3 linked regions of the Tamandua tetradactyla genome follow. The protein of the gene in region 3 binds, or shares a complex with, the protein of the main gene of each other region. Links are inferred from orthologs where the notes say so. Each region holds a gene or a part of one and is shown on either strand. Other genes may lie near its edges. The genes, in order: RASSF5, SAV1 and STK3.

Region 1 (9,574 bases), on a different chromosome or scaffold from region 3:
AGGGACCGTCACAAACTTTTTAATTCTGCAACCTTTTGTCATGCTTCCTGCCCACAGTCTAGCAATGTAAAATATGACTGACCTCATTACACTTCTTGAAGAGGCTAAGCACTCCATGTAACATGCTGCTCAAGAAGGGAAGCAAGGAGGGCTGGAGAAGATGACATTCTGCACTTAACAAAGCTAAGGCCAGTCTTGCTCAAATATCTGCAGAAAGGCTCACACAGTTCTAACTACCTACTGTCTTTTCTCGTAGGCCAGCATTTTCAAAGTGTAGTTTAGGAGTCACCTTAATCAAACTCTCTTATAAAATGCAGGCTGATAACCAGATTTGTGGAATCAGCATCTCTGGGGGCTGGGGCTGGGAATATGCAGTTTGAACAAATGCATGTTGACAAAGCATGGGGAGGTTTGGGGGCTGTTGTGACCACTTGTCTTTTAGCCTAGAACCCTTTTTCCTCAGACAGTCAGAGAGCTTAAATGTCCATTCCTCAGAGAGGGCCTTCCTGACTGTCAGATTAAATACAGTATCCTGTCATTTTCTATTCTATTTTAAAAATAAAATGCTTTGTTTTTCATCATAGTACTTATTATGACCTGACACTCTATCACACTCATGTCTGCCTGTGGTCTGGCTCTCCCACTAAAATGTAAGCTTCATGAACATGCCCATTTCACCGTTGTATCTTCAGCGCCTAGAGCAGTGCCTGGTACACAGTGGATATTAGAGAATTAGGGAGCATGACAAAAAGTTGAAGAATTAAAATGTTTGTGACGGTCCCTTGTAAAATGCCAGAGAAAGGCATCGGCCACCAACTCTTGGCTTGAACGACTGCGCCACATTCTGTGAAATGGCCAGCATTCCCGTTTTATAGATGGAAAACTGAAGCTCAGAGAAGTCACGTGACTTGCACAAACAGGCATTAAAATCTGGCCTCAATAAATGAGTAAGTGTTCTATGCCCTTGAAAATGGCAGTGGTCATTAGTGCTGTTTGTCAAATATTTCCAATTCTTTCCTCATTCTGAGCATACTGTAGGATCACACTTCTTGTCCCCTTGGGGCCATTTATAGCTGGTTCTGGCTAATGAGCTGTGAGAGGAAATGGCTGAAGCTTTTGAAAGCTGGCATGGCATCCTCCGGGTTCTCTCGATCCCCTCGGGCATGGTGACTGGTGACATTAGACACGATGGCTGCTCCATCAGTCTGGGCCCCTGAGTGACTGATAAGCCAGGGTCCCCTCTCCAACCTACAAAGGACAGGTAGTGTGAATGAGAAAGACGTCTCTGTGTTTAAAGGCCCTGAGATTTGAGAGTTGTTCATTACTGCAGCATAACCAAACCTATCCTAATAGAGCTGGAAATCCTTTGTGCTACTCTCAGAACCACAGGGGATTCCCTAGATGCCTCGGGGATTTCAGAAGACATCAAATATCTCAAAGCCAAACAATAATAAAATTTCCCCCTCAGAAAGTCAGGTCATATTCTATCCTCCCCTGTTCCTTCCTACCAGGGAGATTTGTGGGGGATGGGGGGGGTGGGGGTGGGTCAACCCTTGGAAAGACTCACCCAATAGGGAAACCAACATGCTCCGGGACCACCTCTGAAGTGACTTTGCACACTGACCACACACTCAAAACCCTGCTGTCATAATCCTCCCCCTTGAGAAAAACTAACAGCAGCACACCCACGCTGCTGGGAGTGAGTCACAAGCAAAAAAGTCCGCAGCTCCAAGCCAAGAGGGTCTGCCACCACTGAGAAGAAACTCTCACTGGAGCTGTCAGCAGACGCTGAGGTCTTAGCCCATAGCCTGGATGGCCAAAGACCAATCCAAAAGTTTTAAAGTCCAGGCATCAGACGCTACCCCATGCAACATCCTGACTGCACAGAGAACTAGGGTTTACTCCATACTTCTTCCTTGGAAAGGAGGAGGGAGATATACTGTGTGTGTGTGTTTCTGTGTGTGTGTTGTGGGAGGGGGTGCTTTTTGGGAGGAGACTGGGGGCTGCATAGAAGGAACCAAATGCTGAGCAAGAAGCCTTGTGCTGAGGTGGCGGGGGGGGGGGGGGGGAGGCAACTACCTCCCCCGACCTCATTTTCTTGGCTCAAAGAGATGAACCTTAAGATAAACTTGATAAACTTTTTGGACTGGTTGCATGGAATTATGTTATCTCCATATTCATCTCTGTTCCCATCCCAGAAGTTAGGAGGGCTCTGAGCTGCCCAATCTCCCTCCCGCTTTCAGTGCTAAGAGCAGCCACCACCACTTCCCCAAATCAGAGCTGCAGCAATAAAACAAAAACTGGAGCAATTTCTCCGTACGGCTCACACAACTGGAAAGGGCTTTATGCCTGATTATCCAGATAGCCCTTAGCTTCCCAGGGCAAGAGGAGCCCCTTCTCCCCCATGAGCACTGCTCTCCCGGAAAACTATGGGGCTGGGCTTCCAAAACTATGCTGGGGAATTGGGGAGCAGGAGATGGTAACTGTTGGCAATATATCAAAAAGGCCATTTCAAAACTGATCTTCAAATGAACTCTTTGCTAGATCCCTGCTTTTTCTTGCCACCCGAAGCTGTCACCCAGAGTCCAAGCTGGGTCCAGACCCTGAACCTCACCCAGGCCAGTGCACTCCTGGGAGCCAGTGATCTCCCACCAGCTCTGGTGCCTGGAGAGATAGATGGATAACAGAGGGTGGAAACAGGCAAATATTTATATGCAACACATATTTCTGCAACAATTCCAAGAGACCTGCTTGCTGAAAAAGCGGGAGAGACAGGAATAAGAGACCACAAGGCAAATTGTATTTTTCCCTTTTACATATTCAGCAGAAACCATTCAGGAATTGCTCCCTTCTGGCTGTTCCACTGAACCGTTTACCTGCCTGGTGAGGAATCCATTCTCCCATCACCATCTTAGATCTAAAGCAATGGTTCTCAAGCTGGGGTCCTTGGATCAGTAGCATCAGCACTACCTGGGAAACTGTTAAAAATACAAAATCTCAAACCCCAGCCCCACATCTGATGACTCAAAAAACTAGGGCTGAGGCCAGTGATCTGTGATTTAACAAACCCTCCGGCTGATCGTGATGCATGCTGAAGTTTGGAAACCACTGATGTAGAGAAAGTACTGTTCAAACAAGGGAGAGGAAAGGTGGAGGATTGTGGTGCACGGTCCCCTAGCTCAGCTGCCTTCTGCCTTGTAGCACTGGGGATTGGCTGCTGTGGAGCCATGAAACAAAGCAGGCTGGGAATTTCCTAGGCATTAGGCTCTAGAATTTTTAGGAATTACCTAAAATTTACCTCCAAGGGGGGAAAACAAAAGGTGAAGATTCCCCTACTGGACACTAGGGGGAGACCCCTCTCTGGTCTGGGAGAAGGAGGGGAAGTCTCAGGTCTAGCAGGATTCAGACTATTCCCCAAGTTGGTTGCTGGTGACCGCTGCTAAATCAACCAACCCAACCCCATGCTTTAAGAGGAAAGTTGTGGTCATTATGTCAGAGTGTGGGAACCCGAGAGGACAGCAAGCCTGGCTCCTCACTCCCAACGCAATTTGCAGTTCAAACTGGGGCTAGAGACAGCCAGGATACACAGGTATGTGCCAGGCTACATAGGTTGGATTCAAAGACCCAGGAGTCCCCACTCAATCTCAGTTTCCCCACCCAGGAGACAGACCTGGTGCTATTCTTTCCCACACTAAATAGGGCAAAGGTACTGGTCAGGCCCAGCTACATTATTTGCAGGGCCCAGTGCCAAAACGAAATGTGGTACCTTCGTTTAAAAATTAAGAATTTCAAAATGGTGACAGTGGAGTATCAAACGAGGCAGGGGTGGAGGTAGAGCCGGGTGGGGGGACGCAGTAGTCTATCCTGATCCTGGTAGAAAAGGGTCTCTTTGGGTCCCACAGAACTGTCCATACCTGGTGCAAAGTAAGGCTATTTGGGGGTTGGGGTGGGGGTGGGGGTGTCGGATCTCCAAAGTAATTACTCGAACAGCTGGGAGAAAGGAGCCTTTGACTTAGGTAGAAAAAGTCCCTCAGCCTACAGGGTGCGAGGGCGTTCTCACACTCCAGGGCCCTCTACCAGTATAACTCCAGTCTTACGGGAAAGAGGAATCTCCAATCCCGCAAGGCTGCGGAGGAAGGGGAAACCCGAGAGAGAGTGAAAGCCGCGCGCGCACAGTCGGCTGCGCCTCGCAGGCGGCCGGGGTGCACAGCCTGGGAGCGTCCCCCGAAGCGCGCGTCCCTCCGCGTCACGGGACTCGGCGCTGCTCTGCGGGGACGCCACCGCGGCGCACACGCACTCCCCCGCCCAGACCCGGCTTCGCAAACCAGCTGAAGGCGACGAGGGAAGGAAGCACTGTTAGGGAGCACATTCCTCCAATCGGCCTGAAATTGGGGAGGGGGCGGCGGAGCCCCGGGACCTCCTCCTCCTTGGGTTCCATCCTCAACTAGTTCCTAAGCTCTTCCCTCCCATTTGGGCGTGCTGGGGTGCGGGTGTCGGGGAGGCGGGGGTGGGGGGTGGATCGGGTATTGGTAGAAGTGAAGGAAGAGGGAAAGAGGCAGGGCTGAAGGCAAAGAGACCCTACAGGAGGGCTTTTTCTGCATTGTACTGTACAGCAGCTTTGCTATCCTAAATCCCAGATGTTCAATAGACTTCCTGAAGGCGCCCCCTAAACCCACACTCATGCTCGGACAACCCCCACAGTACAACCTTACCACCCGGTCCGTCGGCCTTTCCCTCGTGTCGCCCTTCCTGCCTCCCTGAAGTCTCCCCGCCCCCGCCCCGCCCTGTCGGCTGCGGTCCCTTTAAAGGCGCGCTGGTGTGGGGCCGCCCCTTCTCTCGGGGCTGGCTCGGGAGCTGCGCCTCGCCGGGAGACAACCGCCGCCCCTAGCCGGGCATGGCCATGGCGTCCCCGGCCATCGGGCAGCGCCCCTACCCGCTCCTACTGGACCCCGAACCACCGCGCTATCTGCAGAGCCTGAGCGGCCCCGAGCCGCAGCCACAGCCCCCCGGCCGGTCGTCGCGCCGCTGCGCCCGCGCGCCCCTCTCCGCTGCGCCCGGGGCGCACGATGGGCGCGGCGCCCGGAGGACTTCCCGGGAGGACCCGGAGCCCCAACCCCGGGCTTCCCGACCCCCTCGCCCTGTCCGGCCGGGTCTGCAACAGAGACTGCGGCGGCGGCCCGGAGCGCCCCGGCCCCGCGATGTGCGGAGCATCTTCGAGCAGCCACAGGACCCCCGCGTCCCGGCGGAACGAGGCGAGGGACACTGCTTCGCGGAACTAGCGCTGCGGGCGGGCCCGGGCTGGTGCGACCTGTGCGGACGCGAGGTGCTGCGGCAGGCGCAGCGCTGCGCTAGTGAGTGTGGGGGCCGGGCAGGGGAGGGGCGCGCGCAAGACCGCAGTCCAGGGGCGAGGGACTGCGACAGGGCTGGGAGAGAGGCGGCATTGCCCTCTCTAACTCCAGGACAGGCCCAGACTTTAGGGGAAATAGTCCTTGGAGACAGTCTGCTCCTTCGTCCCCTACCCCGTATCCGTGACGACTGTCACTGCCCAGGGATGGCTGTGCGGTAGGCATTCTACCAATACCCCTTGCCTGACCAGTGCACGCCTTCACCTCCCCACATGCGCTCAGGCTGGGATTGATAACCACAAGGTCATTCCTTGTCTTCCATGCCCCCCGCATGTTTTTATCGTAGGATCTCACTCTGACCTTGGGAGGAAGGGCAAGACCAATATTGAGATGGCCATTTGACTCTTGCTTATTAGTGAAAATGGCAAAATGGTTTGTTTGTCCACCTACGGTGTGGGCCCAAACCCCTCCTCCAGGGGGACCTGTTGAGTCCTGGCTGAGGCCATGCCTGGGAAGGAGCTGTGGGTTGAAGGGAGGCTGAGGTCACCCTGCACCTGTGCCCCTGCCTGCCTTCCACATCTGGCCACTCAGACCTTTGGACTCAGCTCTCATGTTTGGCTGTGCCCTGCCTCCTCCTCTTCTTCCTAGGCTCCTACATCAGTGGTTGGTCTTTAAAATTACCCAACTCCCGGTGGGGTCCCTCCCTCCCCAGCTCAGTCCCCTGCAGCCTTCTCCTGAGCCAGGCTCTTCTCAAACCTGACTGTAAAGCACTGGGCACCCAGCATGTAGATTTTCTGAGCAAATCTACAGTCTTCCTGAAAGATTATTATTTTTTCTTACTACAATTAGGCATGTATATTCCTTTAACTGTGTCATCCGTGCCCCCTCCCTCCTCTGTCTTTCTCCCATATTTGTTGTTGCCGTGTTTGGCAGAGGATACCCAGAGGCGTGTGTTTATGTGTTTGTATAGGTATTTCAAATATCTGAAGCACAGATAATGGCACAACCTCCAAAAAGCATTTCTTGAAATGGTCATGTTTGCATCCTTCTGCAGCGGCCTTCCCCCTGCGACAGCAGCTCTGCATCTCTCCTCTGACTGCAGTGACTTCCACATCAGGAGGCCCCTACCTTTCCTCTCTGCAGGCCACAGCCAAGGCTGGGCATGTGCCTCCCACTGCAGCAGGCTGCGGGGAAGGGGAGCTCAGACTCTAAGCCGGGGCTAAGGGGGAGGTGGGAGATTGGAGGGGAAAGTCAGAACTCATAGTTCAGGTGCTGATTAAGCAAGAAACAGCAGAAATTCGAGAGTTGTGTGCTGTGGGTGTTGAGGACACATGTGGAAGGCTGCTGTCACTTGGTAAATGCCCCTGACCTTACAGAAGAATCCAGAACAACTTGCCCAGGGATGTGTTGGCTGCTTTTGCCCTTTCTAAGTTCCTGATCCACCAACCAATACACAGGGGAGAGGCAGAATCCTCACTAAAATGGGTTTTATTGTTCTGGAATCCCAGGAAATCTGCTTCATTGGAATTCCAGTTTGTATTGACTTTTGGAGACTACATCAGCTGTTGAACATTTTGCACGTTTTGATTTTTTTTTTGGTTTGGGTTCTTAAGAGTCAGAGGTATATTTGCATATGTTTGTATGTGCATATGCAGAGTACTCAGCATGAATTTATCCCCACTTCATGCTAGAGTTGTTTATTTCCTTTGCTTAGTTCCTAAATACCTTCTAGTGGCAAGAGAGTTGAATCTCCCAAGACCCAGGTTCACGTGGCAGTTCCTTTGACTTTATGGGACTTGGCCCACTTTCCTGAGTGCCAGCTCCCCCCTTGCATCACTGCTTTAATACCCTGCTCCCCAGGCCCAGGGATGGTTGACCACCGGAGAGGGAGCAGAGCTGGAATCAGGAAGCCACAGGGAGGAGTCTCGTTATTAATACTTAACTAATTGTGAACCTGTGGCTGGCTGGGAACGGTTGAGAAATATTCTGATGTGCGAATGAGGGCTGGCAAGTGGAGTCACAACAAATCAAACTCACTGAGTATCTTTAAGTTGAAGGTCTAGTTCTGTAATGGGTTTGATTTGTTTTATCTTTATTTTGAAAAGCAAGGGCCAGAGATATGACTTTAAAAAGCCAGGGCCTATGCCGTGATTAAGAGCACAGGCTGGGACCAGAGGGCCTGGGTTGGAATCCTGCTTCTGTATCTGTGTGACCCTGGGCATCTCTGAGTCTCAGTTTCCTTCTTTACAAAATGGGGAACATAATATTACTTACTTCATCAGGTTAAGGTGAGGCTTAAATGAGTTAATATACACATATATGTCAAGTGATGGAATAGTCCCTAGCAAAATGCTTTGTAAATGTTGGATGCTGTTATTTCTAGCCCGCTCCCATCTGACAGCTATGCAACAATTAGTTGGAGCTCTTGACACCATCTAGTGTCACCTTGGCAAGCAACGAGTACAGTTTTCAAACTCTGGTTTCCTGGGCTTAGGGAGGTAGCGAGTGAGCGTACCAGGAGGTGAGGGTTTGAAGTATCCTTGAGAAATGCCACGCCCGCCACTTTGTCCTCAGGAGGAGGCTGCAGTGGCCAAGGAGAGTCCTCACAGAATGCCCCCTCTGTGTGTGACACAGGAGTCGCCAAGCCATCGGCTCTTTATCTTTGTGTCATCCACGCCGAGCAAAATGCCAGGCACCGAGCAGCGTCTTCATAAATGGTGGCTTGGTTGAAGGTGTTGGCTTATTTGAACTATTCAGTACAAGTAGAAGGGCAGGGGGCATGTGACGGCATCTGTCTGAGCAGGAGGCTGGCTCTGAGCGGGTCCATGTTGGCAAAATGGGCTTGTGATAAGGGAAGCTTTGGGAAATACATCTTCTGCTGTCTGCCTGCCTTTCCAGTAGACAGTCATCTCCCTGGTATTGACCCCTAACTCTTATTCTGTAACTGAGACCTGGTGACTCAGGTGACAATTCGGAGTTAATATTAACTTCCAGGATTAAAGACATCATGTTTGTTGGATAAAGAAGGAAATCCAGTTGGAGTTGGTGGAGAGATAGGGAGAGCGACGTTGCATGTGTGTTTTGGATGGTGATGGGAAGCTTCGTTTTTAGCATTCCAGGAGGGATCAGTGAGCACCAACTAACCTGAGAAACTCACAGGCTGACCTCTGCCTTTGCTCTCGGCGGATGTCCCTTGCCGGTCAAGGACCCTTTCTTCTATAGAAGGCGCAGAGAGTGGCTGTTTTACCTTCCATCCCATTTGGGTGGCTCTGTAAGGCATCCTGGACAGGAAATCCACCTTTTCTAAAAGTCCGCTGTTCCAGGAATGGTCTGGCTAATGGAGAACTCTGTGCCCAGCTCCAGTACACAGAACCAGGGCTGAGACACATTGTGCCCACTGCCTGTGACTGCTGCACAGTCGGAGTTTCTCTCTGAAGGGGGAGTTGTTTGGAGCTATGATTAAGTGATTTGCAATGACAGGGCTGAAGGCGGGGACCCCTGGGCTCATCATTCCAGCCTCCCCCGGGAAGTGGTAGGCGGTAATTGAGGAGGGAATGTGGGCGGCGGAGTGTGGTGCAGCCCGCTGGGAGGGGCTCGGGCACCAGCCCTGGGAAGCAGGGCTGGTATCTCACGGGGCCCCTGCCCAGCCTCTCAGCCCTGACTTGTCACCGCACTATTGTCTGGGGTTAACAGCTACTCGATCCTGCCCACACACCTGTTGAGAGTTCTTTGCAGAAGAGCTTCTGGGACATTGATTCTTCTGCAGCGGAGAAAGGTCTTCATTTCAGGCATCCTGGAAAGCGCCCTGCGTGGTCCCAGGGCTGCTGGATTTATTTACCTTGAGCACCAGGAAGGAATTTGTGCAGTGCGCCCAGCAGTGCCTAAGTGGGTGGCTGCAAGTGTTTTCATAGACTTAGGCCCACATTTGGTTTCGGGGGGGAAGAAAATTAAACACGGAAATGGATGTTTTGTTGTTAAAGATGCTGGAATTTCCCCACCCCCAAGTCTTCCCCCACCCCTGGTCCTAACTGAGGTCTGCTTCTTGGGAAAACTCCCATTGGAGTGTGCGTGTGTTTGGGGACAGGGAAGGGACCTGGAATACCTTCAGAGAGGCCTTCTGTGTCCCCCAAGCTGCCTCCTCTTCTCCCCACTTCTTGTCTTCTCACAAGATGAAAGTGAAAGGATTGCACACGGGCTTGATTTCCCCTATTCATCAGAGCATGAAATGT
Region 2 (9,574 bases), on a different chromosome or scaffold from region 3:
CCAAAAAAACTTCATTCAAGAAAAAAAGCAGAAATACAAAACTGTACGAGTATAACTATAACAACTCAAAAGAAAGTGGTACTGAAAAAGATGAAGGAAATAAAAATACTAACAGGCATCTGGTATGATAGGTAGTTTACTCTTCTGCATTTTGTAGACTCCCTATAAAAAGCACAGACTACTCTAAAATAAAATATAAATGCTTTATTTTAAAAACTATTTTAGTTGGACAATAAATTATTTCTGAACTTTAGAATGCAAAATATTAGAAATAGCCAAAACAGTAAACTATGCAATTGTCTTAATCCTTTAATCTACTTCAAAAAACAAAAAAGGCACTCACATGCAAAGAAAAATTCTCCACTTCAGTGTCCCTAAGAGACCCAACATTGGCTTTCGCAAATAAACTACTCTTACCAACAATTCCACACTATTCCCCAATTTTCAAAACTTTAACGATTTACTCTTTTAATCCAAAATTTTTTATTTTCCCTTAAAAAGAAAAAGATTCGTCCTTTTCTCTCCATTACCACTGATACCTGCAATCCTCTTTTCTCTGCCTTCACTGTGCTATTGCCAATTTTCCATCTAAAATGCCCTTCTTTTACTTCCTGTAATATAAAATCCAAGTACAAAGCCCTGTTCAAACCCTATCTCTTTCTTGAATCATGCTCTAACACCCAGCCCACCCTGATAACCTGCGATTCCCTAGTGCTCTTACAGTCAGTAATACTATACTTATAATTCTGTGAGTAGTTTGTGTATTTTGATGTTGTTTTCCCAAATAGGTACCAGAGGGCAGAGAGAAAGAGAGCCAGGGAAGATGCTAGACACATAAATGATTAATATTCAATGAAAAAAATATTTTCTACAATCAAAGTATTTGTACTTCAAACTATTTTTTAAGTCAGCTTATTTGAAGTTAAGTGGGATGTAAGGTAAATCTGTCTTATGTACAGCTGTTGTTTTTTTTAATCCTACCCAAATTTAGGGCTTACAACTAACTTGGAAAAAATAATGAGATGACCAAGTTTAATTTTTGCCTTGCTTTATCATTTAGTGTAATTTGGTACTTTTAAGCATAAAATATAACTGCATTTATTGTCTCTCTTGTAGTCTTTGTAAAAATATCCCCATGTCAATAGTTAGAGAAAGTAGACTTTTTCTTAATTACATTGCTAATATTTATTGCTTATTCCATAAAGAATAACAAAAAGATATGCTCAGTACCTGATAAACCATATGATCTGACAATAAATTTATCTTTTTACCAATTCAGGAAATAACTACTGAGCTATAAAAATAGTTTTAAGAGAAAGAGTGCAGATTCTATCAACACAAGTATGTCGTTGTGCATGCATGGTTAGTTAGCACTAACCCTCACTTACATCACCATAGTTAGGCTTCACCTAGCATGCCCAATTATTCCTAGCCTCCTCTTCGTTCCCAGGTTCAAGTCCAGTTCCTCTGAATTTTAAACTTTCCAATTCTACCAAACAAAAACCTAAATTCAATCCAACTGAAGACATTAACTTCTCTAGGTTTTCAAGGCTCATAATGTTAGTAGTTAAAATAGCCTTGAGATAGCTACCAAGTTTATATAACATAAGTTAATAAAATAAATGGACACAAGAATTCTTTGACCCAGTATAGAGCAATAACTTTTTGCAAGCTGGTTTAAAAAGTCTGGGGAAATGAAAACGTATTTCACTAGGAATATTTGTTAGCTTCCCAAAAAAATCTCAGAAAAGAGTATCTTTCGAATTAAAGTGTCAGTGCTCTACAAATAAACTAATGTAATATTTCTAATTTTCAGTCACCTGAAGTATGCCTCCCCTGATTCTGTGACATCCTTTGGAAGAGATCATGATTGTATTCGAAGTATCTGTAGTCTTCACGCACACGATCTCCAAAAGGCCGCCTTCTCTGACCATCAAAAAAGTTATCTGAATAATAATATCGGGAACCAGAGTCTCCATTTTCAACAGCAAAATTAACTTCAGTTAAAAATGACTGAGAAGAGCCATATTCCCTAGGGACATCTGCTAGACTCCTGGCAAGAAAAGACGGTGCAGACAATCTGTTGCTTTCTCTTCTTATTACTTCATGAGGTGTTCTCTGAATTGGAGTTCTAAGGAAACTCTGGTTTCTTGAAACTACTCCATCTCCAGAGGCTGCAAAAGCATTAGGGCTTGAATCTGGAAGACAGATGTCAGTTCGTCTTGGAATTGTTGGACCATGCCGGATGAATGAAGGCATGAGATCTATAATAAAACAAAGAATAAAATGACCATTTCAACAAATAATAAATACACTTTTCAAAAGTTGTCAGGTTACACCTACCACCCCTAAAATGCAAAGTTTCAATGAACTTAAGAGAACATCTCTTAAATTTTTTATTTAAAATAGTACCTGGATAGTTTAAGATTAAGGCTAATTAACATTTCCCCACCCAAATGGATTGATACTGTATACGAAGGTACTATATGTAAGCTCAGCCAGAATCAAATACATTCTGTGTACCACCATACATATATAACATGGAAAAATGCCAACAAACTTAAATATAAAATGCATACTTAATGAAATAACTCATGAATAAATGTGTAAAACAGGAAACATCTATGTAGTTACCAGCAAAATTATGTAAGATTATAGTTTGTTTTGGTATTTTTCACTTCATTTTAGAAATTGCTAAAATTCCTTCTTCAAGCAAACATTTCTAAGATAAAACAAAACATAATGCTACTCCAAAAATATGTGAAGTTGGATACCTTTACAAAAAAAAAATTGAACTTATTAATCCAGTCTTCTTACTCTTGGAATTACCTAGAACTAGGAGAGTAATCAAAAGCTAGAAAGCCAAAGTTTTTGATATGAAGATTTTTTTAAAAAGGCTCATTCCAAAGAAGTACACGAATGTTTAATCAGTTTAAATTCACCAAGCCTAAATTTATGGCTCCTCTAAGAACCAAGCAATTGAAGAAGATAATAGAACAATGGCTTTTCCAGATACTTCTTAGTACAGAACTTGAAAACAGTTCAGATATTCCCAGATAGAAAGCAAAAACTGTTAATACACGAAGAAAATGAGATTTGTGGCCATTATGTAAACTTATTAGAGGGCATTCATATTAACGGTTTCAGAGAGAAAGAAGTCAATGCCCAAATAAGTAAGGATAAACACTTCATGAAACTAAAACACAAAATACTATAGTAAAAGCTTTTATTTGCCAAAAAGTGTGGCAAAGATATTTTGGAGCTTCAAGTAATGCTTAGTAAACTATGTGCAGCAAACTGCAAACTATCATTTAAGACCTTGGCCAAAAACCTAAGAGCACGTGCACTGTACAGCAAGCTATAAAAAAGGTTTTACAAATGAGCCTCGGGCAGCTGATGCCCCCAGGGGACTTGCTCTGCTCTATGGGAAAGCCCTTCCAGCACGACAACGAACCCAGAAGGCTGCGGCGTGGCTGCAGGGGAAGCCTGCTGTCTGGCCTGCTGTCTGGCCCACCGTGCGCTGCGGACCGGGCACGAGCCAGCCGCGCCCGAGGGACCCCGCGCTCGCGGGAAGGAAACGCGAGGGCTCGGCGCACTGCGGGAGCAGCACGGCACCAGCTCCTACATCACGCCGTCCTCCACGCCCACTCGGAAGCCAGAGTCACACGGCGACAGACAGATCCTACTCCAGTCTAAACGACTTCTTGGTACTTTCCCTAGAACAGGATGGAAGTCGTTTTAAGCTACTTTGCCTCCCTGGAATCTGAAAAGGGTTGTTAAATGGGTGGTGTAAACCGTCACACACACACAGGATTTGTGGGTGCTCTCACATACATACACACACACACACACACACACACACAGGGTCCGTGTGTGCTCTCTCTCTCTCACACACACACACACGGTCCGTGGATACTCTCTTTCTCACACACACACACACACACACGGTCCGTGGATACTCTCTCACACACACACACACAGGATTCGTGGGTGCTCACACACACACACACACACACACACAGGGTCCGTGTGTGCTCTCTCACACACATACACAGGATTTGTGGGTGCTCTCACACAGACACACGGCCCGTGGGTGCTCTCTCTCACACACTCACACACACACACACACACACACACACACACACACACACACACACACGGCCCGTGGTGCCAGCGGAGGGGCCTGGGAGCGGCTGCTCTGCGCCCCTCTGCACAGGCGGCGGCGCCCGGACAGTAGCCGACCGGGCGCCTCTCCGCGTCTCTCCGCGTCTCCAGACCAGGAAAAGGCGCGTCCCGGACTTCGGCGCCCACAACGCCCGAGCGCTCCGGAAGCGTGGGCAGGACCTTCGCCGCGGCCAGGAGCGCTATTTCAGGGACTCTCCCGAAGGAACAACCAACCAAGTTTCCTGCTCTTTTATCCCTTAGCGATTTTCAAACAACCGGCATTCCATGCACCAAAAAGTTACGAAGGCGGAAGGCACCAAGGCCAGACGCGCGCCCGCGGGGCCGCGACACTCACTCCGCAGCAGGGGCGACGTCTCCTTCTTGACGTACTTGCCCTGCACCTCCGCCGGCTTGGACGCTTCGCTTTTAGTTTTCTTTCGGGACAGCATCCCTCCAGCCGAGGCCCGAGGCCGCGCCACGCGGCCCGCCCAGAGCCCGGCGCCGGGTCCTCTCCGCAGCCCGGGGCGCCCGCGGGGCGGGCCGCATGGCCAGGCGCTACGCGCGCCGCCCGCCGCCCAGCCGCGCCCCAGCCGCCTCCCGGAAGTCCGCCCGCGCCGCCGCGCTGACCGCAAGCACGAGAGGCCGGCAGAGCCGGGCCCGGGCCATGGACCCGCACCAGTGTCCGCCGCCGCCTAGTGACCGCCGCTGGGAACTCTGGGAAACCCGCCGCTGGGGCCTCTGGGAAACCCGCCGCTGGGAACTCTGGGAAACCCGCCGCCCGCCTGGGACCCACCCCAGCTCCCGCCTCCCGGGGCGTCGGCGCTGGCCCTCGGCTGACCGCGCGGCTCCGGGGCGGAGGGGCGGCCGCTGTGGTTTCCGCAGCGAGACTGCAGGGGACTGGGGCCGAAGGGGGCCGGCCAGTGTCCTACCTGACCGCGCGCCGCACGGAGCCCCTCCCCACCGCTGCCCCCAGGACCCCTGCACGCCCGCCGGCCTGGGATCGGGTGACTAGCCCGGGCCCTGGGACACCGTCGGGCGGCGCTGCGCGAGGACCTGGAGCCTCCTGACCGAGACGAGTGGTCCGTTAGACGCTGGCCGGCCGGGACGGGCCGCGGGGCCGCCGAGTGCGCCGGCCGTGCAGGAAGGACGAAGGGCGACGCTTTCGCACCTCGCGTTCACGGCAGTGTTGAGTCTGTACGTGTGTAGTCGCACACTGGTGGGAAACAGTCACGTACTTCCTCGTGGAATTAGCTAGTTCCGTCCTCGGGTTTTGAGGGCTTTGAACGCCAGAGATGAGGGTTTGGGATTTTCCGTTTAAAAGCGTGGACTACACTTCGCTGTTACTGACCGGGAACTGCCAAAGGTACAGGATCGTGAGCAAATAAGATAGGATCTATCCCCAGGTGAACTAAAGAGGCCTGTTTTTTTACACTTTTTTATTGTGAAATACACATACATAAAAGCAATAAAATTCCAAGTACATTTTAACAAGTACTTACGCAACAGATTTTAAGTTTGATGTAGGTTACGGTTCCACAATTTTTCATTTTTACTTCCAGCTGCTCCAAGACACTGGAGACCAACGGAAATATCAGTATGATTCAGCAGTCATCTGTGTTAAATCCTATCTTTGTTATGTTCCTCTCCTTTAAACAACATTTATGCATAAAAGCAAAGTACATCACAACACTTAGTTGTAGAACAGATTTCAGAGTTTGGATTGGGTTACAATTCCACAACTTTAGGTTTTTACTTTTAGGTCCTCTAAGGTACTGGAAGCTCAAATAAATATCAGTGTCATGATTGAGCAGTCACGCTCATTTGTTAAACCCGACCTTCTCTGTGCAACTCCACCATCACCTTTGGTCCTTCTCCACTCTAGGGGTGTCTGGGCTATGCCCATTCTAACTTTTCATGTTGGACGGGGCTGTTGATGACATGGGAGGGGCGATAGAACTAGCTGATATTCTGCAGAGGCTGGGCTTACCTGGACCAGGCACCCATCTGGAGGCTGTAGGTTTTGGAAAGTCACCCTAGTGTATGGAAGCTTTGTAGGATCTTATATAAAGCCCTAGGTGTTCTTTACGGTTGGCAGGAATGGTTTTGTTTGGGGTTTGGCAAGTTATGATAGGTAGCAATGTCTAACTTCAGTTTAAGTAAGAGTGACTTTCCATGTACCGCTTGACTCTATTTGAACTCTCTCAGCCACTGATACCTTATTTGCTACACTTCTTTTCACCCTTTATGTCAGGATGGCATTGTTGATCCCACGGTGCCAGGGCCAGGCTCATCCCTGGGTAAATTAGACTTTTAATAATAGAGAATGCTTTCCTTGAGATCTGAAACTTATTTCACAAGAGATACAAAATTTATGCCACAATTAACAAAAGGTATGGAATTTTCTACTGCACCAGATTAAGACGATGATCAAATTGTGTTTTGCCATGAAAAAACATTTTATCTAGTGTCTACTTCCATCTTTGCATGATGCTTTTATGCCCTCTTAGTACAGATCTCCTGCTATTCATTGAGTAACCCACAAATATTTAGTGAGCACCCACTTCTAGGTGCTATTCTAGATCCTTGGGGTGTATCAATGGATGAAACAGACAAAAATCCCTACTGTGCTGGGGAAGATACGATAAAGATAATATGCAAAACAGAATGTTAGTGATAAGAGCTGAGGTGGAAAGCCAGGAAGAGGGTTTGCAATTTTAGGCACTGACGGAGTGACTGGAAAAGGCATCGTGAGACAGGAACATGGGGAACCAGCCATGCAGCTGTCTGGAGGGAGAATATTCCAGGTAGAAAACACAGCCAAGGCATCGCTGCAGGTGGCCAAATTCCTGGCAGATTGAAGGACAGTAAGGAGGTCGGTGCAGCAGGCACAGAGGGATGTAGGGGAGAGTACAAGGGATTGAAATTAGAGCCTTGACGGCCCTTGACTTTGAGCAGATATGTGGCTTCATCCGACCTGATGTTCTGAATAGGATCACTTTGGGTGCTGTTAAGAATAGACTTAGGAAAAGGGCAAAGAGGAGACACCGGTCCGAAGCTATTGCTGGCTTGGACCAGAGTAATAGCAGTGGAAATAAGTGGTCAGATTTTGAACATCTTTTCAAGGCAGAGCCAACGAGGTTGCTGGCATTGAATTGGAACACGAGGAAAAGAGAGAAATCAAGGATCACTCCCATGGGAATGTAAATTTTAACGCTAGAACAGAACAGACCTCAAAAGAAGCAGTTTAGGGTGGGCCAAGGTGGCTCAGCAGGGAAGAATCCTCGCCTGCCATGCCAGAGGACCTGGGTTTGATTCCCGGTCCCTGCCCATGTTAAAAAAAAAAGAAGCAGTTTGTACTTTTAGAGGAACATTAGAAAAGCAGTCACTTCTTCCTGTTCAGAAGTAAGGACTGGTACTAAAGTGTTGGTAGGGTGGGTGGAGAAGAGTGATGAAACATAAATGAAAAAACAATGGGGTTTTCTTACAGATTGGGTATGGAGGAGAAAGTGGTGCCAAAAGTGCTAGTCTTCGGCACAGGGCCTACTTACCTTGGAAGGATGAGAGAAAAAAAGGATATTAGGGTCTTGTTAATAACGTCAATTTTTCCCACCTGGGTTTTCCCAGAGCCTGAAGTAGAGGATACTTTCCACATTCATGGGGGAAAGAAATCGCTGAATTTTATAACTGGAAAGGAATTTTGAGATTAGCTAGGCTAACCTCATTTTATAGATGTAGAAACAAAACTAGAAAAATGGTTTGCCTCAGATCACATTCCTGGTTTACAGCAGATTAGTATCAGAAATATTTTCTTTTCCCATTCTGAGCCTTTCTCTGCTGCAGCATATTAAAAATCCCAGTAATATAATCCAGACTGTTTCTAATACGGTTGTTTCTGAAGGCCATCCATATTCCCTACAAAGTATTCCCTTTTTCAGTGCAATTTCAATTCTTTGAATTACAAAGAAAAAAAATCTGTTAGGTACTCTCTTTAAGACTTATAATTTGACTTTTTATCAAAGAGGGTGCATGCCAGAATCAACAGTCTGCAGGCAGCATCAGCAGTAGCAATGCATAGCAAATATCTGAACTTTGAATCCAGAGGCTTTGAATTCACATGTTTTCCAGAAATTCCTGGAATTCTGAAATTTTTCATTAAGGAATCCAGATTTTGCAGCTTTAATTCTCCAAACACAATGCTAATACTGTATTACATAATAGAAATATTTTTCCCCTTTCATTTGCATTCTCAGTGGAGAAAATAGACAATTAGTGAGTTAACAACTATTTTTGATTAGTATAACATTAAACAAACCTGGGCTAACCTTATAGCTCTCTGGGTCTTAGTTTTCTCATCTGAAAATGAAGAAATTGGACTACTGCATTTCCAAAGTGTTTTTCATTCCTAAAGTTCTGTGCTAAAATGGGCAGAAGGAAATATGCAAAAATATATATATTTTTTAATAATGGTGCCTCATATCTGCACTTACCATATTCTAGGGCGCTAAGCACGTAACAGAAACCTAATGAAGTCGAAGTATCAGTTAGCTGTTGCCACCATAATGCTGTATAACAAATCATCCCTGTGGCTTAAACTCAGTGGCTTTTAAAATTATCATATGTATTGTCACATCTTGGCTGGGCTGGCTGTGTTGTGCCAGACTAAGTTTATCTGGGCAGTTCTCTTTCTCACTGAAAGTCTGGGCTCAGCTGAGACAGCTCGGTTGTCTGTGTCTTTCTGCTGTGGTCGAAGCTGCAGGAACAGCAGAGGAAGTTATCGAGAGGAATCTCTTCTCCATGGGGACGGCAATGGGCATTCCTTCTTTAAGAAAAATCATTATTTTTACATTTTCATTTAAAAGCTATTAAGTTATTCTGGAGGTTATTCTTATGCATTATATAGATACCTCTTTTTAGGTTATGGTGTATTGGAGTGGCCAGAGAGAAGTACTTGGAATTGTCAAGCTGCATTCCAGTAGCCTTGATTCTTGAAGACGATTGTGTAAAGAGATAACTTTTACAATGTGACTGTGTGATTGTGAAAACCTTGTGTTAGATGCTCCTTTTATCTAGGGTATGGATAGATGAGTATAAAAATATGGATAAAAAAATAAATAATGGGGACAAAGGGTAAAATAAATTGGATAGATGGAAATACTAGTGGACAATGAGAGGGAGGGGTAAGGTGTATAGTATATATGAGTTTTTTCTTTTTCCTTTTTATTTATTTTTCCGAGTGATGCAAATGTTCTAAAAAATGATCATGGTGAAGACTATACAACTATGTGGCAATATTATGAGCCATTGATTGTACACCATGGATGGAATGTATGTGTGTGAAGATTTCTCAATAAAAATATTTTTTAAAAAGTTATTAAGATTTTTTCATATTAACTGTAAAAATATTTGTATA
Region 3 (9,574 bases):
GGAACTAAGAGGCAGAAAGCTGGAGCCTGGAGGGGAGGCACAGAGCCCACAGGAGTGTGCAGACTGGAGTACAGGACTAGGAAGTAAGCCAGGCTGTGTTCCTTGGGTGAGCTACCCTCACCAGCACAGCCCCGTGACCGGTGACTCACCCCACACCCCATGCACCTGAGCTCCATCACCCTCTCCCATTCCCTGCACTCCAGGCGCCCCCACCCCACCAGCCCCCAGTGCACATACCTGCCCCACAATCCCACCCCAAGTGCAGCCCAACCCACCTCTCCTACACACCTCCTGAGCACTACCTCCCCCTCCCTGTTCCCTGCAGGTTGTTGCCAGCACATAAAGTTTGCAGGGACTAACCTCCATACCTAGACTACCTCCGCCTCCTGCCCAGTGTCGCAAGGCCTCAAACTGCCCTCTCTGAGCTCAGCACATTCCTTTAAAGCATTTCCAGGCCCCCGCATGCACATGGACCCCCAGTCGCAGCATTCAGCTCTGGGAACCACACTTTACAGCAGTCCTAGAACCACGCATGCACACAGCCCTCAGCTTCACTTGCCAGCTCTGAGAAAGTGCCAACCTGTGCAGCTGGGTCACATCTGCCCCCAGTCCATAAAACCGTAACACCAAAGTGGTGCCACAGCTCTACACATGCGCACAAAGGGCCCTGTGCCTTAGACCAGCGCACACCAGGGTTACAGCTCCCAGACTGGTACAAACCACAGCTACATCCTCCCTGGCCACTGGGCGCCCACGGTCACAAGTATCAATGTAACATCCCCAACCTGTGCCTACCTGCCCTGAAACAAATCACCATACTGAGTGCTCCATCCTGTGCCCTGCTCCTTGCTGTACAACCATCCCCAAACAAAAGGCCTTAGACTACTGAAAGAAATCAACTCCCAAAGTAAATCAATCAAGATATTTGCATGCCATGAAGACAGGAGAAGATCACTAAGCATATTACAATGCAGACAGATATAGCCCTGCCTAGTGACCAAATTAAAACACCAGAGGAGACACAGACGTTGGAACTACTAATCAAAGATATTCATACAACTCTATTTAGTAAAATAAGTGGAATAGCAAATGACATAAAGGAGATCAAGATGAGCACAAAGAGGAATTTTTTTTTTTTTAACATGGGCAGGCACCGGGAATCGAACCCGGGTCCTTGGGCATGGCAGGCAAGCATTCTTACCTGCTGAGCCACCGTGGCCTGCCCCACAAAGAGGAATTTAATCACAGAGATTAAAGACTCTATTGACCAAATAAAAAACATACTAGAGGCACATAACACCAGATTTGAAGAGACAGAAGAAAGAATAAGTAATAGAGAAGACAGGATAATTGACTTTGAAGACTCAAAACAGAAAATAACAAAAAAAAAAAAAGATAGAAAAAATTGAATAGGAATTCAGGGAAATGATACACAAAACAAAGCGCACAAATATAGGAATCATTAGTGTCCCAGAAGAAGAGAGGAGTAAAGGGCTAAGAAGAGTAGCTGAGAATATAATGGGGGAAAACTTCCCAACCCTCATAAAGGATATAAATATACAAGCCAAAGAAGCCCAAAGAACTCCATATAGAATAAATCCAAACAGACCTTCTCAAAGGCACATACTAATCAGTCTGTCAAATGTTGAAGAGAAGCAGAAAATCCTGAAATACGCAGGAGAAAAACAATCCACTACATACAAGGGAAATCAAATAAGATTGAGTTCAGACTACTCAACTAGCACCCTGGAGGTGAGAAGGCAGTGATATGATATACTCAAAATTCTGAAAGAGAAAGACTACCAGCAAAGAATTCTGTACTCAGCCAAACTGAGTCCTTCAAAACTGAGGGAGAGGTTAAAGTTTTCACAGACAAAGAAGCTGTGAAAGAATTTATCAACAAGAGACCAAACCTACAAGAAATACTAAAAGGAGTTCTGGCAGCTAAAAAACAAAGACAGGAGAGAGAGGTCTGGAGGAGGGCACAGAATTGAAGAGTACCAACAAGGGTAATTTAAAGAATACAAAAAGAAAGAGGGAAAAGAATATATAGAAACGACAAACAAAATGAAAAAGATAAGATGGTAGAATCAAGAAATGTCTTTTCAGTAAAAAACTTGAATGTTAACAGACTAAACTTACCAGTTAAAAGATACAGATTGGCAGAATGGATTAGGAAACATAATCTAGGGAGGGCCACAGTTGCTCAGCAGGTAGAGTTCTCACCTGCCATGCTGGAGACCCCGGGTTTGATTCCCAGTGCCTGCCCATGCAAAAAAAAAAAAAAACACATAATCCAGCTATATACTGTTTACAAGAGCTACTTTTATGACCAGCATAAAGGTATAATCAGAGGCTTATAATATGGGTGAGACTTGAGGTCAATGTTGAGTGACGTTAGCCAGACACAAAAGGATAGATACTATATGAGTACAGAAGATAGGGGACTTAGAGATACACAGAAGCTAGAGATGGGTGAACTATTAGCTAAAGAGGCTGAACTCCAATGTAAGGGAATAGATAAGTGTGAGGGTTATTCTCTAGTGGGTCTAGAAGTAATATTACCATATTGAAGATGAACAAGATCGAAAGGGGTTTTATAGACCTACATGTCTCACTGACACACACTAAAAATAAGAATGAGTTCTCATAAGAATTACTTCAAAGATATGATTCTTGTATAAAGAGTGTTTAAGTCCTGGGTACAGGGGGAAAACTGCTACTGCATGCTATGAGCTATGCTCAAAAAGAAACCATCAGCACTACCAAAGCAACAGCAGAGGTAAATAATGGTGAGAGGGACAAGAGGAGGTTTAGACTTTCTATTTGGTAAAGATGTGTTTACTGGTTTTCTGTCTCTTGGGAACAATGAAATTATCTAAACTTGAGAATGTTGATGGACTGTGGACTTTGGGCCCTTGAAGTGATGCCTGATGAAGGCAGGTGGCTGAAGGATGCACTAACGGAGAAGTAAAACAGCAAACGATGGTGCATACTTATGAACAAGACTGTGCTGCTACAAAAAGGAACAAAGTCATGAGGCATGCAACAATGTGAATGAACATATGGGACATTTGGTGAGACAAAATAAGCCAGAAACAAACAAACAAAAAAAAAAAAAAAATGGCATGGACACCTTTAGAAAATGCTTATAAGAAAACAGGGGCCTAGATTGTAAGCTTTTGAGTAGATACATTAAGTCCGGAGTGGTGATTAACATTTCTGGATTTTGAGAGGCTGTTTTATATATAAATATATATATATATATATATATAACCTGATATTTAGAGTAAAAACAAAGCCGAACAGGTTGGGGTTAAAGTAATTCAGAATATAGGAGTAAGAAAAAGCGTCTACATTTTAGAACCACACATACTCTTTGAGACCAATAGAAGAAAGGTTTATTTGATCTGGAATTGAAATTTTCAGTCGTGTATAATCTAATTCAACCTATCTGTATAGCTCATTTGAATAACTGAAACACAGGAAGCACAGAATAAGAAAGAGGTCCTTTAATCTTGTATAGATTATTGTAATGCCTGGATACATCGTAGAGTATATTAAGCAGATAATCAAAAAGTACTGGCAAAGTCTCCTGAGGGAGGGGAAAAAGAACATGAAACTATTAAACCTTACCATTAGGTAAGGTTTGAAACCCCTGATACTGTGTCAAACTTTAGAGATATCCAAATCCACAGGCTATGCTCTTGATCATGAGGTTTACTCTTGTGAAGCTTATGTAGGTAGTGGAGAAGCTTAGCCTACCTATAGGCATGCCTAAGAGTTACTTCTGGAGGACCTCTGTTGTTGCTCAGATGTGGCTCAGTCTCTCTAAGCCCAACTCTGCAAGTGAAATCACTGCCCTCCCTCCTACGTGGGACATGACATCCAGGGATGAAAGTCTCCCTGGCAATGTGGGAGATGACTCCCAGAGATGAATCCAGACCTGGCACCGTGGGATCAACAATTCCATCCTGACCAAAAAGGGGGAAAAGAAGTATAACTCATAAAAGATCAGTGGCAGAACAAGTTCAAATAGGGTCAAGAGGCTATTCTGGAGGTTGCTCTTATGCAAGCTTCAAGTAGACCTTGCTATGGATCATAATCTGCCCACCCCCAACCAGGACCATTCCAGTCAATCCTAAAGAACACCTAGGGTAATATATAAGATTCCACAAGGGTTCCATGCACTAGAGTAACTTTCCAGAAACCTACAACTTCCAGATGGGTCCCTGGTCCACATAAGTCCTGAAACCTAGCCCAACCTTTCCAGAACATCAGATAGTTCCATCTTCCTACCCATATTAGTGACAGACCCTTCCAATATGAAAAATTTAGAATTACTATAGCCCAAACAACCCCAAGAGAGGTATGGAAAGATCAAAGGTGACAGCAGAATTACACATAGAAGATAGGACTTAAAAATGAATATGAATGCTGAATCATTAAATTGACATTTCTTTTAGTCTCCAGTATTTTAGAGTAGCTAGAAGTAAAAACGTGAAATCGTAATCTATGTCAAAGTGTGAAATATGTTCTACAGCTAACTGTGGTGCCGTGCTTGGAAATTTATAGGTTTTTTGTATATATGTTATTGTTCACAAAAAAAAGAAATAAAAAAAAAGTCGATTGTGATGATAAAAAGTGTTTAAGCCCTCTAGCCGTCCATATTCTGGAGCAGCTAGAAGGAAAAATATGAGAGGATCGTATGGTAGCCCATAACAAACTCTGGGATCTGTCCTGTAACAATTTGTTGAAGAGTACTTTGAAAACTATTGCTTTTTTATTTCTTTGCTTTGTATATATGTTATACTATACAATAAAAATAGTTCAAAAAAAAAAAAAGAAAGCCTGAAGTTAATGTTTTTTTCCAATATCAAGCTACAGATACATTCTTGAAGGAAAAATCCATATTATGCAATTGTATCAATAAACAATCTTTATTTAGATCATTTCAAATATTAATTCAAACGTATTTACTCTGCATTCTTACATTTCCAATATAATATCATAGATTAAACATAAACTAACAGTAAATACCAAAGCATCACTATTTTTACATGCTAAAAGAAAAACAAAAAACTATAGGGGAAGGGGTTCTAATTTAAGATCCCTACTGTCTAGCATCCATAAATACTTTTGAACTAAGTGGAGAAACACCTGTCAGTGCGGCAAATCCGCAAGTTTCAGAGATTGTGTGCCTATTAATATTTAATTCCTTAAACAGTAAATAAACAACCCAACTTCTTTAAACAAACAAAAAAAATTACGAAGAACATTTGACAAGAACGCCTACAAGACTGGCAGAACACTAGTAATGTCCCTGTTTTATGTCTCCCAGTCTTCGTAAACTTGCCGCGAGGGGAAAACTCGACCTGCCCCGGAGCCGCAGGAGGTCCGGCCGCGGGGAGCCGGGCGCTGCCCACTCTCCTTTCCACGCGCGCCAGGCCCCGCCGGACGCATGCGGGGGGAGCCAGTCACGGCCTCCGCTCGGGTCCCCTCGCCCCGAGGACAGGCGGCGCCTGCAGCCGGACCTCCCTCCTGACCCACGGCGCGCCGGCCCAGAGCCCGGAAGCCGGGGTGGGGGGTCGCGATCTGGCCTGGCCTAACCGAACCCGCCCCGGGGCTGCCAGCGGCGCGTCCCTCCTTCTCCCCGCTCCCCTTATTGATTACCTCTTGGGCGCCGGTGGCTGCTCCATGGCGGCCTGGGGCAGAGAGAGGGAGCTGGCGGGCGGGGAAGGCTGGAGGGAGGAAAGAAGCTGGAACACCCGCCGGCCGGGCCCGGGGAGCCAAGGAAGGAAACTCCAGGAACTCGGACCAACTTTCTCGTAACTCCGCGGCGGATCCTACGGCCGCTGGGGAGTGTGGCTCTTCCCGGCCTGCCCCGCCCCTCGGCCTCAGGCCGCAGCGCAGGGTGGTGGGCGGAGCCGGGCCAGGGGGAGTGGGCGGGGCCGACCGCGGGGCGGGGAGAGTGAGTGGACTCGGAGACCCGGGAAGGGGCGGGCCGCGGCGCAGAGAAGGGAAAAGGGGAGGGGTGGATTGGAAGATCCAGAAGTTGAGGCTATCTAAGGACTCTTCTGTGCTGGTGAGGGATAGGTCCCTTTACAGCCGGTTCAGGACTGCTGCTCCTCATTTCTCTTCCCTGCGTTTGTCCCAATGCGATTTGAAACATTTCTCTGGATTTCCCACACGATGCATCCCAAGCATCTTGTGAAGCCGTTTGAAGTACTACTAACTGCCCAGGATTTCTTCCTTAGTTCTGGTTATAATTACTGCTTCTGTTTTCCCCCAGCGATTTGACATTTGTAGCTACAGTAGTGGTGATCCTCCTGGAAATTCTTGTTTTTTTTGATTGTGGACAGGCTCCTCATTACATTTCACAATAATTACATCTAATTACAGAGAAAATAATTACTGCAGTGAGATTCTCAGGCACAAACGCAGTATTCTATTAGGTAACCTAGCAAGAAATAGCAGAACCTATGGTGCATAGAAAAGCACTCAAGAAAAATTTGTTTCCTTCCCTCTTCTCGCCCTCCTCCCTACCTGTTCCAACCACACTCACCCTACTCTGATAGTATCCCTTCATGTTTAACCTTAAATTCCACATGTGGCTGTCTTTCTTATGACCAACTACAACTGCTATGTAAGGAGTTTTCTTGTTTTTATTATAAATTGTCAAGGTATAAAGTCCTATACGGTTTTCTCAAGGGTGGAACAATATATAGAAGAGAATGTTGAATAAAGAGTCTTTATGAACATTAGCCTAAATTGTCGATGGATTGGCTTACCAACAGGAATTCATTGGTTCATGGTTTTGAAGACCAGATGTCCAAAATCAAGCCATGCTTTCTCAGTGTTCTCACGCTGGATTGCAGCAATTCTTGGGAATTTCTCTCTCTTTCTCTCTCATTCTCACTCTCTCACCTGCTCTTCCAGTTTCTCCTAAATCCAGTATTGGCTCTTGACTCTTATAAGGCCTCCAGTAATATAGACAAAGGCTGACGGGATTCAGTGAGGCCATACCTTCACTAAAAATAGTATCTTCAGAAGTTCATACTTATAATGGGTTGATACCCACAGGAATGCAGATTAAGATAAGAATATATCTCTTTTTTTGGAGTATATAATTCAGTCTACCACAACACTTATTCCTCATTTTGCATTTTTAAGTTTTATTATGTAACAAGCTTTCACAATTTCTTTTTAAACCATCATATCCACCCACCCTCCCAAATTTAGTTATTTTAAATTTAAGGCCACTCATTGTTGAGATCTAAAGTCGAATTTTGTAAATGAGATTCTTGCAAATTTGTATACTCATTTGAATATATTGAAGACTCACAATAGCAAGATAAACCAAAGAGTTAAAATGAGTTCTGAATTGCCTTAAGCCCCAGGAAGCCCCTCCCAAACTCCAGCCCAGTACCACCACTCCATGCCTCCCACACAAATTCAAGTTATGAAAGAGAAACCTCACTTTTAAGAATCCATAGTACTCTGTGCTGGGCTTTGTGTGGTGCTTATCACATTGTATTGAAGTTCTCCACTCTTCTGCACCTTGCTGTCTGCCCTGGGGGCTGACCCGTGGGCTCACATCAAAGGGCTCCTTAGCCCTCTCTCTTTTAAATAAGTCTAAAGATAGGGAAACCCAACAGGAAGTCTTCTGCAAGGGGGAAAAGGAGTGTGAAGTCAGACTATTTATGAGGTCTCCTGGGACTAGATGTGTTCCAGGAAGTCCTCAATGATCTTCTCAAGGCAAAACACTTTACCCAAATCTCCTTCATTCCCCTTCTCCCTTTAGACCTAGGGGCCATGTGATTGTTCTACTTTTTACTAGGTTTCTCCTCTATTCCCTATGTTCCTCTACACCTCAGCCTCCTCAAATGATCCTTTGTCATTAAACCCTTCCTCAGATGACTCTAATTTGAGTATACTTTCAAAAGGGTTTTCTGTTGGAACCCTGACTGACACCGAAAAAGAAGGTTTATGGAAAGAAGGAGAATTAATATTAGAAAATAAATCCTCGGTGTCTCCCCTCTGTTTGAAAAGGGAGAGTACTAACAAATGTTGTATGAATCCAACAGGAGGACATTTGGCCTACATAATCTCATTCAACTCTTTATTTAATTCTATGAAATGTCCTCATCACAACAGACAAGTCAGCACTTGCCCAGCCACCACTTGTCTAAGTTGACACACGAACATGACCATGACACCCACGTTGGGGAAACATACAATAACATAAGAACCTAATTGGTAATTGTGTTGGTTTAGAGCTGTTATAGACCCCAGAAAAGGCCATGTTCTTCTTTTTTTTTAAATATTTTTATTGATAAATCTTAACATGCAAACATTCCATATATGATGTTACAACAATGGCTCACAACATCACATTGTTGTGTATTCATCACCATGATCATTTTTTAGAATATTTGCATCACTTCAGAAAAAGAAAGGAAAAGAAAAAAACTCAAATACACCATACCCCATACCCCTCCCTCTCATTGACCACTGGTTTTTCCATCTACCCAATTTATTTTAAACTTTATCTTCATGGTTAATTTTTTTACCCATATTTTTTCACTCATCTGTCCATATCCTAGATAAAAGGAGCATCAGACACGTGGTTTTCAGGATCACACAGTCACATGGTAAAAGCTATATCGTTATACAATCATCTTCAAGAAATAAGGCAACTGGAACACAGCTCAACAGTTTCAGGTACCTCCCTTCGGCCATTCCAATACACCATAAACTAAAAAGTATGTGCTGGTTTGAAAGGATGTATGTACCCTAGAAAAGCCATGTTTTAATCCTAATCCCATTTTGTAAAGGCAGCCATTTCTTCCAATCCTTATTCAGTACTTTATGTTTTAAACTGTAATTAGATCATCTCCCTATAGATGTGTCTCAATCAAGAGTGGTAAGTTGGATTAGGTGGAGACATGGCTCCATCCATTTGGGTGGGTCTTGATTAGTTTACTGGAATCCTATAAAGAGGAAACATTTTGGAGAATGGGGGAGATTCAGAGAGAGCAGAGAATGCTTAGAGTCTACCAGCCAGCAACCTTTGGAGATAAAGAAAGAAAATGCCTCCCAGGGAGCTTCATGAAAAGGAAGCCAGGAGAGAAAACTAGCAGATGACGCTGTGTTAGCCATGTGCCTTTCCAGATGAGAGAGAAACCCTGACTGTGTTCACCTTGTGCCCTTCCAGCCAAGAGAGAAACCCCAATTGTGTTCACCATGTGTCTTCCACTTGAGAGAGAACCCCTGAACTTCATCGGCCTTCTTGAATCAAGGTATCTTTCCCTGGATGCCTTAGCTAGGACATTTCTATAGACTTGTTTTAATTGGGACATATTATCAGTTGCAAACTAGCAACTTATTAAATTCCCCCTTTTTTTAAGCCATTCTGTTTCTGGTATATTGCATTCCAGCAGCTAGCAAACTAGAACAAAGGGATATCTATGTAATATGTAAGAATAACCTCAAGGATAACCTCTCCATTCTGTTTGAAGTCTCTCAGCCACTGAAACTTTATTTTGTCTCATTTCTCTCTTCCCCTTTTAGG

The links.
Region 1: the proteins of STK3 (region 3) and RASSF5 are in contact, whole or in part, in a crystal structure (PDB 4LGD), measured with the Homo sapiens proteins. The link is inferred for Tamandua tetradactyla from reciprocal best matches to the Homo sapiens genes STK3 and RASSF5. Residues at the interface, in NP_006272.2 of Homo sapiens: Phe437, Phe439, Leu440, Leu445, Leu448, Gln449, Arg451, Leu452, Leu455, Asp456, Met458, Met459, Glu462, Ile463, Leu466, Arg467, Tyr470, Lys473, Arg474, Pro476, Ile477, Leu478, Ala480, Met481, Lys484, Gln488; in NP_872604.1 of Homo sapiens: Trp369, Asp370, Ala371, Phe372, Ile374, Leu377, Gln378, Phe380, Leu381, Leu384, Glu385, Glu387, Glu388, Lys391, Ile392, Val395, Gln396, Lys398, Tyr399, Phe402, Arg403, Lys405, Leu406, Ala409, Leu410, Ser413.
Region 2: the proteins of STK3 (region 3) and SAV1 are in contact, whole or in part, in a crystal structure (PDB 6AO5), measured with the Homo sapiens proteins. The link is inferred for Tamandua tetradactyla from reciprocal best matches to the Homo sapiens genes STK3 and SAV1. Residues at the interface, in NP_006272.2 of Homo sapiens: Trp429, Lys430, Val431, Pro432, Gln433, Gly435, Phe437, Phe439, Leu440, Lys441, Asn442, Leu443, Ser444, Leu445, Leu448, Gln449, Arg451, Leu452, Leu455, Asp456, Met458, Met459, Glu462, Ile463, Leu466, Arg467, Arg469, Tyr470, Ala472, Lys473; in NP_068590.1 of Homo sapiens: Tyr311, Ala312, Arg313, Ala314, Pro315, Asp319, Trp324, Glu325, Phe327, Gln328, Leu329, Leu332, Asp333, Gln336, Leu339, Lys340, Leu342, Phe343, Glu346, Leu347, Ile350, Val351, Met353, Tyr354, Ala356, Tyr357, Arg358, Ala360, Leu361, Leu362.

The regions. Positions count from the first base shown.
Region 1 is NC_135330.1:64,233,404-64,242,977, forward strand, and holds the start of RASSF5 (ras association domain-containing protein 5), read left to right. Parts: upstream 1-4,849; 5' UTR 4,850-4,894; coding exon 4,895-5,351; intron 5,352-9,574. UniProt on the Homo sapiens protein: Potential tumor suppressor. Seems to be involved in lymphocyte adhesion by linking RAP1A activation upon T-cell receptor or chemokine stimulation to integrin activation.
Region 2 is NC_135340.1:1,698,916-1,708,489, reverse strand, and holds the start of SAV1 (protein salvador homolog 1), read right to left. Parts: upstream 4,682-9,574; 5' UTR 4,614-4,681; coding exon 4,520-4,613; intron 2,265-4,519; coding exon 1,821-2,264; intron 1-1,820. UniProt on the Homo sapiens protein: Regulator of STK3/MST2 and STK4/MST1 in the Hippo signaling pathway which plays a pivotal role in organ size control and tumor suppression by restricting proliferation and promoting apoptosis.
Region 3 is NC_135332.1:142,773,737-142,783,310, forward strand, and holds the start of STK3 (serine/threonine-protein kinase 3), read right to left. Parts: upstream 5,908-9,574; 5' UTR 5,700-5,907; coding exon 5,674-5,699; intron 1-5,673. UniProt on the Homo sapiens protein: Stress-activated, pro-apoptotic kinase which, following caspase-cleavage, enters the nucleus and induces chromatin condensation followed by internucleosomal DNA fragmentation.